2 linked regions of the Xenopus tropicalis genome follow. The protein of the gene in region 2 binds, or shares a complex with, the protein of the main gene of each other region. Links are inferred from orthologs where the notes say so. Each region holds a gene or a part of one and is shown on either strand. Other genes may lie near its edges.

Region 1 (6,663 bases), on a different chromosome or scaffold from region 2:
GCGGCCCTTTGCTTACCCCGTGGGCGGCCCTTTGCTCCTCCTGTGGACGGCCATTTGCTCCTCCTGTGGACGGCCATTTGCTTCCCCTCTGGGCGGCCATTTGCTTCCCCTCTGGGCGGCCATTTGCTTCCCCTCTGGGCGGCCATTTGCTTCCCCTCTGGGCGGCCATTTGCTTCCCCTCTGGGCGGCCCTTTGCTCCTCCTGTGGGCTGCACACACAGCGCGCCACCAAATTTTTTGAAAACGCCCACTTTTTGTGGCCAAAGAGAGCCACGCTACGGCAAGCAGCAGGGGCAGGAAGCGCTCCCAGCATTCCCTGACTGGATCTCCCACCCTGTTCTAAAGGCCGCCTTCACCCCCCCTGCTGAGAGCAGTTCTGGGTCAGAGGAAACACACACAGGATTTATCTGTATTATAACAAAAATATTTTTATCACTTTTCATTTTAATATCCAAAATATGAAAAGGAGTCGGTCACCTGAGTTAACTTTTAGTACGATGTAGAGAGAGATATTCTGAGACTATTTGCAATTGGTCTTCATTTTTTATTATTTGTGGTTTTTGAATACTTTCACTTATTGTTCAGCAGCTCTCCAGTTTCAGCAGCTATCTGGTTGCTATGGTGCAACTTACCTTAGCAACCAGGGAGTTGTTTCAATGGGAGACTGGTATATGAATAGGGGAGGGGCTGAATAGAAAGATAAGGAATAAAAAGTAACAATAACAATAAAACTGGAGCCTCACAGAGCAATAGGGTTTGGCTGCCGGGGTCAGTGACCCCCATTTGAAAGATGCAAAGAGTCAGAAGCAAAAATAAATAATAAAGACCAATTGAAAAGTTGCTCAGAATTGGCCAATCTATAACATACTAATAGTTAACTTAAAGGTAAACCCACCCCATTACCTGTAATTCAAGATACAAGTCAGGCCCCACCCCCTCCTGTTTATTACGCAGTCCTGAGAGAAAGTAGATCGTCATTCGAGTGAGTTGCCTGGGCAGGAAGCCCAAACTAGCCGAGCCAATCAGATTCAAGCTGCTGTGCGGTCCCCCAGCAGGGTAGTGAGCTCCTGTAAGTGCTCCCGCACCACCTGATCCAGGACAGCGTACACATCCTTGCACGCCTTGCTCGCGGCATCCATCACCCGCTCCAGGTGATCCTCGTGCAGCCGCGAGTTCATCTCCAGCAGCGCAATCTGATCCGACTTGGGGAGGAGGGCCAGGGCGAGTTGGGGCCCTCCGGCGGCTTCTTCCACGTAGCTGAGATCCGCGAGGGGCGTGTCCTCGATGAAGCCCGCCGAGCTGGCGCACACGTAGTCGCGCATGGGAATGCCGGCGTCGATCACGGCCAGGGTGGCGGCATTCACACATGTGCAGTAGTTGCCCCCGTCTGCTTGCAGGATCTGGGCAGGGAGAGTCATGTGATCATATCCAGCGCAGCACAACACGGGAGCCAGTATGGCAGCACCAAGATACCACATACATGCACCACTGAGATATCCCCACATAGTGACTCCCAGGAACTACTCTTGGTGGCCAGGGGGATGCTGGGAATTTTAGTACAGCCCAAGGGCCACAGATTGGGGACCACTGACTAAAGGATTTGGGGGGTTCACCTTTAAGTTAACTTTTAGTACGTTATAGAATGGCCAATTCTAAGCAACTTTTCAATTGGTCTTCATTATTTATATTTTTTATAGTTTTTTATCTATTTCCCTTCTTCTTCTGACTCTTTGCAGCTTTCAAATGGGGGTCACTGACCCCGGCAGCCAAACCCTATTGCTCTGTGAGGCTCCAGTTTTATAGTTATTGTTACTTTTTATTCCTTATCTTTCTATTCGGCCCCTCCCCTATTCATATACCAGTCTCTCATTCAAACCACTCCCTGGTCGATAAGGTAATTTGGATCCTAGCAACCAGATAGCTGCTGAACAAGTGAAACAACTAAAAAACTACAAATATAAAAATGAAGACCAATTGCAAATTGCCTCAGAATATCACTCTCATACTAACAGTTTAACTCAAAGGTGAACCTCCCCTTTAAGGTCAATTTAAAGTGAAACAGCCCCTATTTAAGCCCCGCACTATTGTTACAACTTGCCGATGCCCCACCCACTGGCTGATGCCCCTCCCACTCACCTGCACGTAGATATCTATCTGTGAGCGCGGGTACAACTGGGTGAGGATGGCGGCCTCGAACGTCTGCTTTAGGTGCAGGGTCATCTCGCTGGACTTGCGGTCCCCGTGGGGGCGGCGCTTCCTCTCGCCGGTGCTGAAGGTCGCCATACTGTACTGGCAGTTCACCACTGAGCGGTCGTGGAGCATTTTACTGCGAGAGCCGCGGATCTGTGGGCACAGCGTTACGGGCACCGTTACACATGGAACTGGGGTATGGGGGCGGGACTAGCAGTGGGCACAGGCAGCCGTGTGTAGGCAGGGTAAGTATCCCAGCAGCAACCACTTACCCACCCCCATACTGTGCCAACCCCTTACCCACCCACCCCCATACTGTGCCAACCCCTTACCCACCCCCATACTGTGCCAACCCCTTACCCACCCCCATACTGTGCCACCCCTTACCCACCCCCATACTGTGCCAACCCCCCCCATTATCCCACCCCCTACTACTGTGCCACCCCCTTACACCCCCCCCATACTTGCCAACCCCTTACCCACCCCCATACTTGCCTACCCCTTACCCACCCCCATACTTTGCCTACCCCTTACCCACCCCCATACTGTGCCAACCCCTTACCCACCCCCATACTTTGCCTACCCCTTACCCACCCCCATACTGTGCCAACCCCTTACCCACCCCCATACTGTGCCAACCCCTTACCCACCCCATACTGTGCCAACCCCTTACCCACCCCCATACTGTGCCACCCCCTTACCCACCCCCATACCCACCCACCCCCATACTGTGCCACCCCCTTACCCACCCCCCATACTGTGCCAACCCCTTACCCACCCCCATACTTTGCCTACCCCTTACCCACCCCCATACTTTGCCTACCCCTTACCCACCCCCATACTTTGCCTACCCCTTACCCACCCCCATACTGTGCCAACCCCTTACCCACCCCCATACTGTGCCTACCCCTTACCCACCCCCATACTGTGCCAACCCCTTACCCACCCCCATACTGTGCCAACCCCTTACCCACCCCCATACTGTACCAACCCCTACCCACCCCATACTGTACCAACCCCTTACCCACCCCCATACTGTGCCAACCCCTTACCCACCCACCCCCATACTGTGCCAACCCCTTACCCACCCCCACTGTGCCACCCACTTACCCACCCCCATACTGTGCCAACCCCTTACCCACCCCCATACTGTGCCACCCACTTACCCACCCCCATACTGTGCCAACCCCTTACCCACCCCCATACTGTGCCAACCCCTTACCCACCCCCATACTGTGCCAACCCCTTACCCACCCCCATACTGTGCCACCCCCTTACCCACCCCCATACTGTGCCAACCCCTTACCCACCCCCATACTGTGCCACCCACTTACCCACCCCCATACTGTGCCAACCCCTTACCCACCCCCATACTGTGCCAACCCCTTACCCACCCCCATACTGTGCCAACCCCTTACCCACCCCCATACTGTGCCAACCCCTTACCCACCCCCATACTGTGCCACCCACTTACCCACCCCCATACTGTGCCACCCACTTACCCACCCCCATACTGTGCCACCCACTTACCCACCCCCATACCCACCCACCCCCATACTGTGCCAACCCCTTACCCACCCCCATACTGTGCCAACCCCTTACCCACCCCCATACTGTGCCACCCACTTACCCACCCCCATACTGTGCCACCCACTTACCCACCCAAGTAACCCAGCGGTCTCTCCCCTATAGTAATGCCTCTGAGCCATTCAGCCCGTCCGTGTGGCCCCAGCACTCACCTCATGGGGCCCATATACCACAGCCAGGGCCTTGGTGTTCCCCTGCTCGATATAAGCGGAGCCATCGGCCTGAGCGAACACTCCCATCCTGGCCCGTATCTTGCGCAGCTCCCCGGCTTTCCTGCCATCCACCCGGTAGCCCTGGTCCGACAGCAGCTCCAGCCCCGCCATCCCGCACCACGTTCTCACGGTATAAACTACAACTCCCAGAAACCACCGCGCCGCCACTTTCCGTTCCTCTTTCCGGAAGTGTCTGGGTGCCCGCCTCCACGTCACATAAAGGGGCGGTGCCAAAGTGATAGTTACTTCGTGTAGTAGAATTGCGCTTTTACCTCAGTTCGTTACAAGTGGCGCTAATTCCTATTGCTGGTCCCTATGGCGCTATTGTGCGGCCCAGTTGGGCTCTGAGCCATGTTTCCTATTTCACACTGTTATTTTCCCATGTTACTGAGCAGAAACTGTATATATATATATATTATGTTCCCCTGTCACTGTGCAGCCTACTCACCTATGGGTTTTCCCCATAGTAACCAGGAAAGGAACATTCCACTGAGCATTTACATTTTCCCTTTCACTGTAGATTCATAGTACTGACACTGTTACACAGCAAATAATTCCCTCTGCCATTTAACCTTTTATTCTTCAACCAACAAATGTATTTGTAGCTGTAATATTGGCGTGTAGGCGCCATCTCAGTGCCTTGTGCCTGAGTCTGAGCTTTCAGCCAGCGCTACACATTAGAACTGCTTTCAGCTAACCTATTGTTTCCCCTACTCCCATGTAACTGGGGGAGTCCCAAGCCGGACTTGGATTTCTTACTATTGAGTGCTATTCTGATACCTACTGGGAGCTGCTATCTTGCTCCCTTCCCATTGTTCTGCTGATCGGCTGCTGGGGGTGAGGGGGGGGGATATCACTCCAACTTGCAGCGCAGCAGTAAAGTGTGCCTGAGTCTGAGCTTTCAGCCAGCGCTACACATTAGAACTGCTTCCAGCTAACCTATTGTTTCTCCTACTCCCATGTAACTGGAGGAGTCCCAAGCCGGACTTGGATTTCTTACTATTGAGTGTTATTCTGATACCTACTGGGAGCTGCTATCTTGCTCCCTTCCCATTGTTCTGCTGATCGGCTGCTGGGGGGGAGGGGGGGATATCACTCCAACTTGCAGCGCAGCAGTAAAGTGTGCCTGAGTCTGAGCTTTCAGCCAGCGCTACCCATTAGAACTGCTTTCAGCTAACCTATTGTTTCTCCTACTCCCATGTAACTGGAGGAGTCCCAAGCCGGACTTGGATTTCTTACTATTGAGTGCTATTCTGATACCTACTGGGAGCTGCTATCTTGCTCCCTTCCCATTGTTCTGCTGATCGGCTGCTGGGGGTGAGGGGGGGGGATATCACTCCAACTTGCAGCGCAGCAGTAAAGTGAAACTGAAGTTTATTAGGGCTCAGGTCACATGGCTGTGGCACCCTGGGAAATGAAGAATATGGCTAGCCCCATGGGAAAAACAGATTACAATGCAGGATTCAGCGGGAGACGCTCTATTAACTGATGGGTTTTGAAAAAACATGTTTTCCCATGACATTATTGCTTTAATAGGAACAGTTCTGGGCTCCATCTGTTTGGGCTACTTTAGAGTCATTGGCTTTAGAGTCCTACATTGCAGATGTTTAGAGCTTGTGAAAGGTGCAGTGGCTACAAGTTGAGTGGGAAGAAGGGGTTAATAAACTGTGTGCTGAGCGCTCAGCTCCTTTCCGTGCCTCTGGCCACGCCTCCTGCCTTGGTGCCTGAGGGATCCAGTAAAACGAGTTTCGATTCTTTGTGACTCGGAGGAACTTTCCATTCTTTCTCCTTGTTCCACGATGGCGGCGGCTGCTGATGTGAGAGTCGAGGTAACGTGCACCGTGTGCCTGAACATTTACACCGAGCCCGTAACTCTGCCCTGCGGCCATAACTTCTGCCTGAGCTGCATTGGCAAAACCTGGGACTGGCAGGAAGGGATAGAGGAGCAGCCTTCCTGCCCCGAATGCAGAGAGAGATTCCGGACACGACCGGAACTCAAAAAGAACTCACGGCTGCGGAACATTGCGGAACATTTTCGTTCTGAGCAGCCAAAGCAAAACAAGACTGACATTTACTGTACCTACTGCGATGCTTCGGTGCCCGCTGCCAAGTACTGCGTGCGGTGTGAGGCTTCCCTGTGCGACAGTCACGTGCAACTACACAGCAGCGCAGAGGAACACGTCCTAGTGGAACCCACCGCCTCCCTGGCCAAGCGCAAATGCGCCGTGCACAACCGGCTGCTGGAGTACCACTGCCGAGAGGATGGCGCCTCTATCTGTGCCTCCTGCTGCCTGGTGGGGGCGCACCGAGGGCACAACGTGGAGCAGCTGAGTGAGGCCTCCGAGAAGGAGAAAAAGAAACTTAAAAAGGTTCTGGAATATCTGATCCCTGCCAAAGAGGTGACAGAGAAGAGTCTGCTGAAGCTGAAGGACAGCAGAGACAAGGTCCAAAAGAGAGCGGCTGCAGAGAGCGAGCACGTCTCTGCCCTGTTTAGAACCATCCGGGAATGGTTGGAAAGCCTAGAGATGCAGATGCTGGAGGAGATCTCCAGGCAAGAAGAGCTGCTTTCGCTTCCATTCTCTGATATGATCCAGGAGCTGGAAGCACAGAAGGAGCAGCTTTCCGAGAAAATCCATCAGATTGAGGAGCTGTGCAACATGGCAGATCCGTTATCT
Region 2 (5,520 bases):
ATTGGGCTGGTGTGGGGACTGTTTAGCCTCTGTGTACTTGAAATGCCATGGCCTTTTTTAATCTGTCAGGGTCTGCCCAAGGGCCCCTTACGCAGGACTTTAGGCTGCTGAATTAGACTGGGGTGGGCAAGTCACCAGCTTTATCAACCCATGTATAACTAGCTTAAGCCTCAGAAAAACAAAATACTGCCACATGGATGAATCTGCCAAACAAGGGTCACCTTTGTTTACATGTTATTGTTTTTTGAGGCTTAAAGGGGACCTGTCATCCAGACATAAAAAGCTGTATAATAAAAGTCCTTTTCCAATTAAACATAAAACCCAAATTCTGTTTTTTATTAACATATCCATGCCCTAATATTATAAAGGCATTTAAAAATCCCAGCTGTCAATCATGTATTGCCTGCCCCGCCTCTATGCCTTAGGCATAGAGGCGGGGCAGACAATAACTTTCCATTTAGCACTTCCTAGATTTCGCTGCTTTTTTTACTTTTCCCCTCCCAGGCATCTGGTCCTACGTTCTATCACAGTGCTGTCCAACTGGCGGCCCGCGACCCCCCTCTGTGTGGCCCCCCACCTGTCTGGCTGCTTTGATGGCTTACTCTTGTGTAAGATTTAAATGGTATCAGTACTGAGATTAACTGGCCCCCTGCATGGTTCTCACGTCATATTCAGGCTGTAATCCCTCTGTATTGTTTAAACATGTAATCCCCTGTGTTGTTCACACCTTTTAGTCCCTGCATTGTTCACCCCCTGCAGTGTTCACACCTCAGGCTGTAATCACCCCCATTGTTCCCCTGTTCACACCTCAAACTGTAGGAGCAGTAGAAACCCACAAATAATCCCTGCACACTACAAAAAGAACATATACTGAGGTGGTACTGCAAATAATTTTTTTTTTTAATATATAGTTATTGTGCAGACTGTAGGAGCAGTGACAGAATTGTGTCACTGTATGCTGCCTGTGTGTGCGCCATACAGCATAGGGCAAGCAGAGTATGGCACACACAGGCAGCATAGGGCAGCAGAGTATGGCACACACAGGCAGCATAGGGTAGGCAGAGTATGGCACACACACACAGGCAGGGTAGGGCAGGCAGAGTATGGCACACACAGGCCAAGTATGGCACAAACCAGCCAAGAATGGCACACACAGTCAAAGTATAGAACACGCAGGCTGGGTAGGGAAGGCAGAATATGGCACACACAGGCAGGGTAGGGAAGGCAGAGTATGGCACACACAGGCAGGGTAGGGAAGGCAGAGTATGGCAGGTTTTTGCTGTACTACAACCATTAATATGGGTATGGTCATGTGATAACACGGGTGTGGTTTCAAGTGGGTGCGGTTTCAAAAAGGGGAGTGGTCAAAACTGGCTTCCATTATCGGCCCTCCACCACGTAGGTCGGAAAAATTCCGGCCCTCGGTAGCACCGAAGTTGGACAGCACTGTTCTATCACATAAACACACTGCTTGCTGCGATTCTGTAATTCCAAGACTGTAGTGTAAGTCAAGTTTATTTTGCTCAACTAATTTGGAATTATTTCTTAGGGTGATAGCTCCCCTTTAAGGTGGCCATACACATTCAGATTTTAGTCTTCCTCTAACGAACGTTCGGATATCGATTGTTTAAATGCGACAATCTAAAACTAAGATTTAAATTATAGGACAAAATCCTAAAATAATAAATTAAAGGATGTTTTGAAAGTAAAAGACAGCAATCGTACGAAAGTGACATCCTAGAAATGCATTCCAAGCAGGGCTGGAACTAGGGGTAGGCAGAAGAGGCACCTGCCTAGGGCGCAATGGTGGCCCCAATGGGGGCGCCAGTTAGCTTCCTCTTCTTTTACCTACCTCTAGTTCCGAACCCTGTTTCCCCACTGCAGCAGCCCTGGCAACCCCACCACCCAGTGTGCAGGCATGTCTTCTCACTTGCGCATGCAAGAGGGGAGGGGAGGGGCAAGCCGACCAGGTTGCCTAGGGCGCCTGGTTGGCTTGTCCCAGTACTGCCCCCAAGGATGTTTTGTATAATTATGTTGGTGCGTATATGTATGTATAACTTTCATTTTTTTTTTTTTTTTTATATATGGTGTAAATGTCTATATGTCTTGATGTTTTTTCCCACACAGCTTTATAAATTATATAAATACATTTTATTTTATAAACATATTTACTGATTTAACCACACGCACACTTTTACACAGTACAAACACGTGCATTTAACCACACACATACATTTTAACACACACGCACACACATACATTTTAGCTCCATTATGCTTGGGTGTATTATATTGAGATACTCATGGGATGGGGGTGCAGTTAAACTCTAAACATAATCTGTTATTGCTGTGAAGGAACAACGGGGACACACTTTAATTCTTCCACTTGTTATCTTATAGTATGTACCAGTGAAAGGAGACCATGTTATTGGAATTGTAACTACAAAATCAGGAGACATATTTAAGGTGGACGTTGGAGGCAGTGAGCAAGCATCATTGTCCTATCTGGCATTTGAAGGTGCAACAAAGAAAAACAGACCAAATGTTAAGGTAAAATGGTTTTCTGAATTTTAGAAATTTATCAATGTAGAACTCTGAGTTAGAAAGAAGTGTCCCATCCACATGCTATCATCATGGTTGTAAAGAGTTAAGGGATAGTTTACCTTTAAATTAAGGTTTAATATGTTGTACACAGTCTTCTAAGTCAGCCATTTTGTGTATTTAAATTGATTGTTATTGTAGCTGTTTGGTTGCTAGGACTTAATTGTCCCAGCAACCAAGCAGCAGTTTGAAAGTCAAAATGAAAAATGAATAGGAAAGATAAGCAATAAAAAAAATAACCATAGGAATTGAACTGCCTCAAGAAACATGGCTTAAGAACTATCAAAACGTCTGTAAAGGGAGCTACAATGTAGCAATAATGCAAAGCTCACTTAAACTATTCCACAGGACCTATTATGTGCCTGATAGACTTTGTCGAATCTACCCTACATCCTCGCCACCTTGCTTCAGGAACTGTACTTCACGAGGCACCATGTGGCACATCTGGTGGACCTGCCCAGTGGTCCAAGAACTGCGGACATTCTTACTAAACTGTTTCACACAAACATTACCCCATGTCCAAAGGTAATGCTTCTAGGACACAAACCACAAAACCTCAATAACCCAGCACAACGCCTTACACAGCACGTATGCATGGCAACAAAGATCCATATCGCAGCCCAATGGAAATCAAACTTATTATATGTTGAAAAGGTCCTGGAAAAAATTTTATATATACACACAAATGAGACTCTCAAATACCAACTGGAAAATGAAACAGAGTTATACCTGCAGATATGGGACACTTGGATACTAAATTAAGACTATGGGTAGCGTCCCTACCCCCAACCTGAGAAAAAATAATAGACAACTGTGGGAAAACGTAAACCAATAACAATGAATATCTCATACCAACACTGAAACACTGAGCGCAAAAAGTTATGTTGATTTCTGTTCTTTCTCTTTCCTTTTTTTTTTATGTTTCTTCCCTTCTCTCCCCTTATCCCCCCCCCCCTTTTTTTTCCCTCTCCCCCTCATATTGCCCTATTATGCACGTAAATATGCAGTTGAATGTAGAAGACTCTCTAAGTCTGATAATGCATCTAGCAAACAATATGCTATGTCTACAAAATATGTTAAAACTAAGAAAAATAAAAGTATACAAAAAAAAAAAAATAACCATAATTAGCCTCAAAGCCATTCTGTTTTTGAATGGATCAATTATTAGATATCATATTTGGATTCAGGCCAGAAAGAAGCAGAATAGAAAAGCTAGAAATGCTAAAACCATGAACAAAAATACAAAAAAATTGGAAAACAAGGAGAACTATACCCCCGGGCTATAAAAGCCCCCTTAACTATCACTGCCTTGACCCCCCTCACCTCTCCCTTACTGCATAGTTTCTAACTTTTAAAAATGTCCCTATCGCTAATCCTAAGCTAAAAGAGCAGAGTAGTGCAGCTGCGTACCTGGCTGACATCTTCCCTGTGAGTGAACAGTCTTCGGGTCTCTCCACCTTGCTTGTGCATACCCAGGGGGTATAGTTCTCCTTTAAAGGGGAACTTCCACATTGAGCTGATAGCCTTAGGGTTATGACCAACCATGGCATTACCTTGCCTTTTGTTTTACCGTTCCCTGGCGTAACCCACAAAAACACATGTATGGCTTGCTTCTTATTGTCATCCGTTTAGAGGATAGGTGTGATTTGTTTGAGAATTTGAAAAACAAAAAAAACGAAATAATTTGTAACTCTTTTAAACAGTTTTCAAATTACAATTACACAGAATCTCCAATGCCTTTAGGTAGTTAAGCAACAGTTGAAGCCCTGAAGACTGTATATCCCTTATGTATATCTTTTACATATGTTGATGAGACAGGTGACTGGACAGTTTGAGTAGGAGATATGTAAAGTGAGTGAAAGTGGAGTAGATGAACAAACTACATAAAATTTCCAGCTCCAGTTAATTTACATTTTTTTCAAAGCAAATCACACAGTAAAAACTGAAAGGTCCAATTAAAGACATTAAACAAACCCAGCATTTTTTTTCCTTCATTCCTAACTGAATTTTTCTTTGTTACAGGTTGGGGATCTTGTGTATGGGCAGTTTATTGTTGCTAATAAAGACATGGAGCCAGAGATGGCTTGCATAGACAGCTCCGGAAAAGCAAACGGGAAGGGTGTCATTGGACAAGATGGACTCATGTTAAAAGTCTCTTTGGGTTTAGTAAGAAAGTAAGCGACATCTTTATTTTCCCTTACGTAGTAAGCGCAAGCTAAAATGCTTGTGGGTATAAACAACTGTAACCTATAATAATTAGTTGAGTCATCTAGAAGGATCTGCTAGTATGTCAGATAGCAAAATCATATTTCATATTTCCTTCTGACGAACTACGGATATTGATTGTTCGTTTAAATGCGACTATCTAAAATTAACTAAGATTGAAACTGTAGGTAAGTCCTTAAAGTAATAAATCAAAGGATGTTCTGAAAGTAAAAGACAGCAATCGTACTAAAATTACATCCCAGAAATGCATTGTAGGTCTCCCAAGGATATTGTCAGATCATACGAAACATAGTTTTGTTGGTGCGTTTATGGCCAGCATTAAGTCAGCAGCTTATTGTTCCTATGTAAGGGGCCCTTAGGCACAAAGCAGGTTTGAGAATCATACTGGCACGTTGATGTGGCTCTCTCCTGACTGCCTCCCTGTAAGCGCAAGCTAAAATACTTGTGGGTATAAACTACTGTAACCTATAATGCTGAGCAGTTGACTCATCTAGAATAATCGGCTAGTATGTCAGATAGCAAAATCATATTTCATATTTCCTTTTTGTAATAATTGTCTCCTCCTGTGAGTAAACATACAAGGATTCAGAAATAACTTTATACATCTCTCAAAGAAGAAGTTAACCTTTTTTTTCTATCTTTAAAATTACTCTAAACAACCCCCAGAATAATACACCTTAGTCCTTGCATTCAG

The links. Proteins that work in one complex are often made in the same cells at the same time.
Region 1: exosc3 (region 2) and exosc4 share a complex: the UniProt entries of both Homo sapiens proteins name them as parts of the RNA exosome core complex. The link is inferred for Xenopus tropicalis from reciprocal best matches to the Homo sapiens genes EXOSC3 and EXOSC4.

The regions. Positions count from the first base shown.
Region 1 is NC_030682.2:151,307,689-151,314,351, forward strand, and holds exosc4 (exosome complex component RRP41), read right to left. Parts: upstream 4,104-6,663; 5' UTR 4,100-4,103; coding exon 3,929-4,099; intron 2,343-3,928; coding exon 2,136-2,342; intron 1,400-2,135; coding exon 1,028-1,399; 3' UTR 410-1,027; downstream 1-409. Other genes in the region: E3 ubiquitin-protein ligase TRIM7, read left to right, coding at 5,788-6,663. UniProt on the Homo sapiens protein: Non-catalytic component of the RNA exosome complex which has 3'->5' exoribonuclease activity and participates in a multitude of cellular RNA processing and degradation events.
Region 2 is NC_030677.2:113,703,769-113,709,288, reverse strand, and holds part of exosc3 (exosome complex component RRP40), read left to right. Parts: intron 1-2,399; coding exon 2,400-2,549; intron 2,550-4,622; coding exon 4,623-4,774; intron 4,775-5,520. UniProt on the Homo sapiens protein: Non-catalytic component of the RNA exosome complex which has 3'->5' exoribonuclease activity and participates in a multitude of cellular RNA processing and degradation events.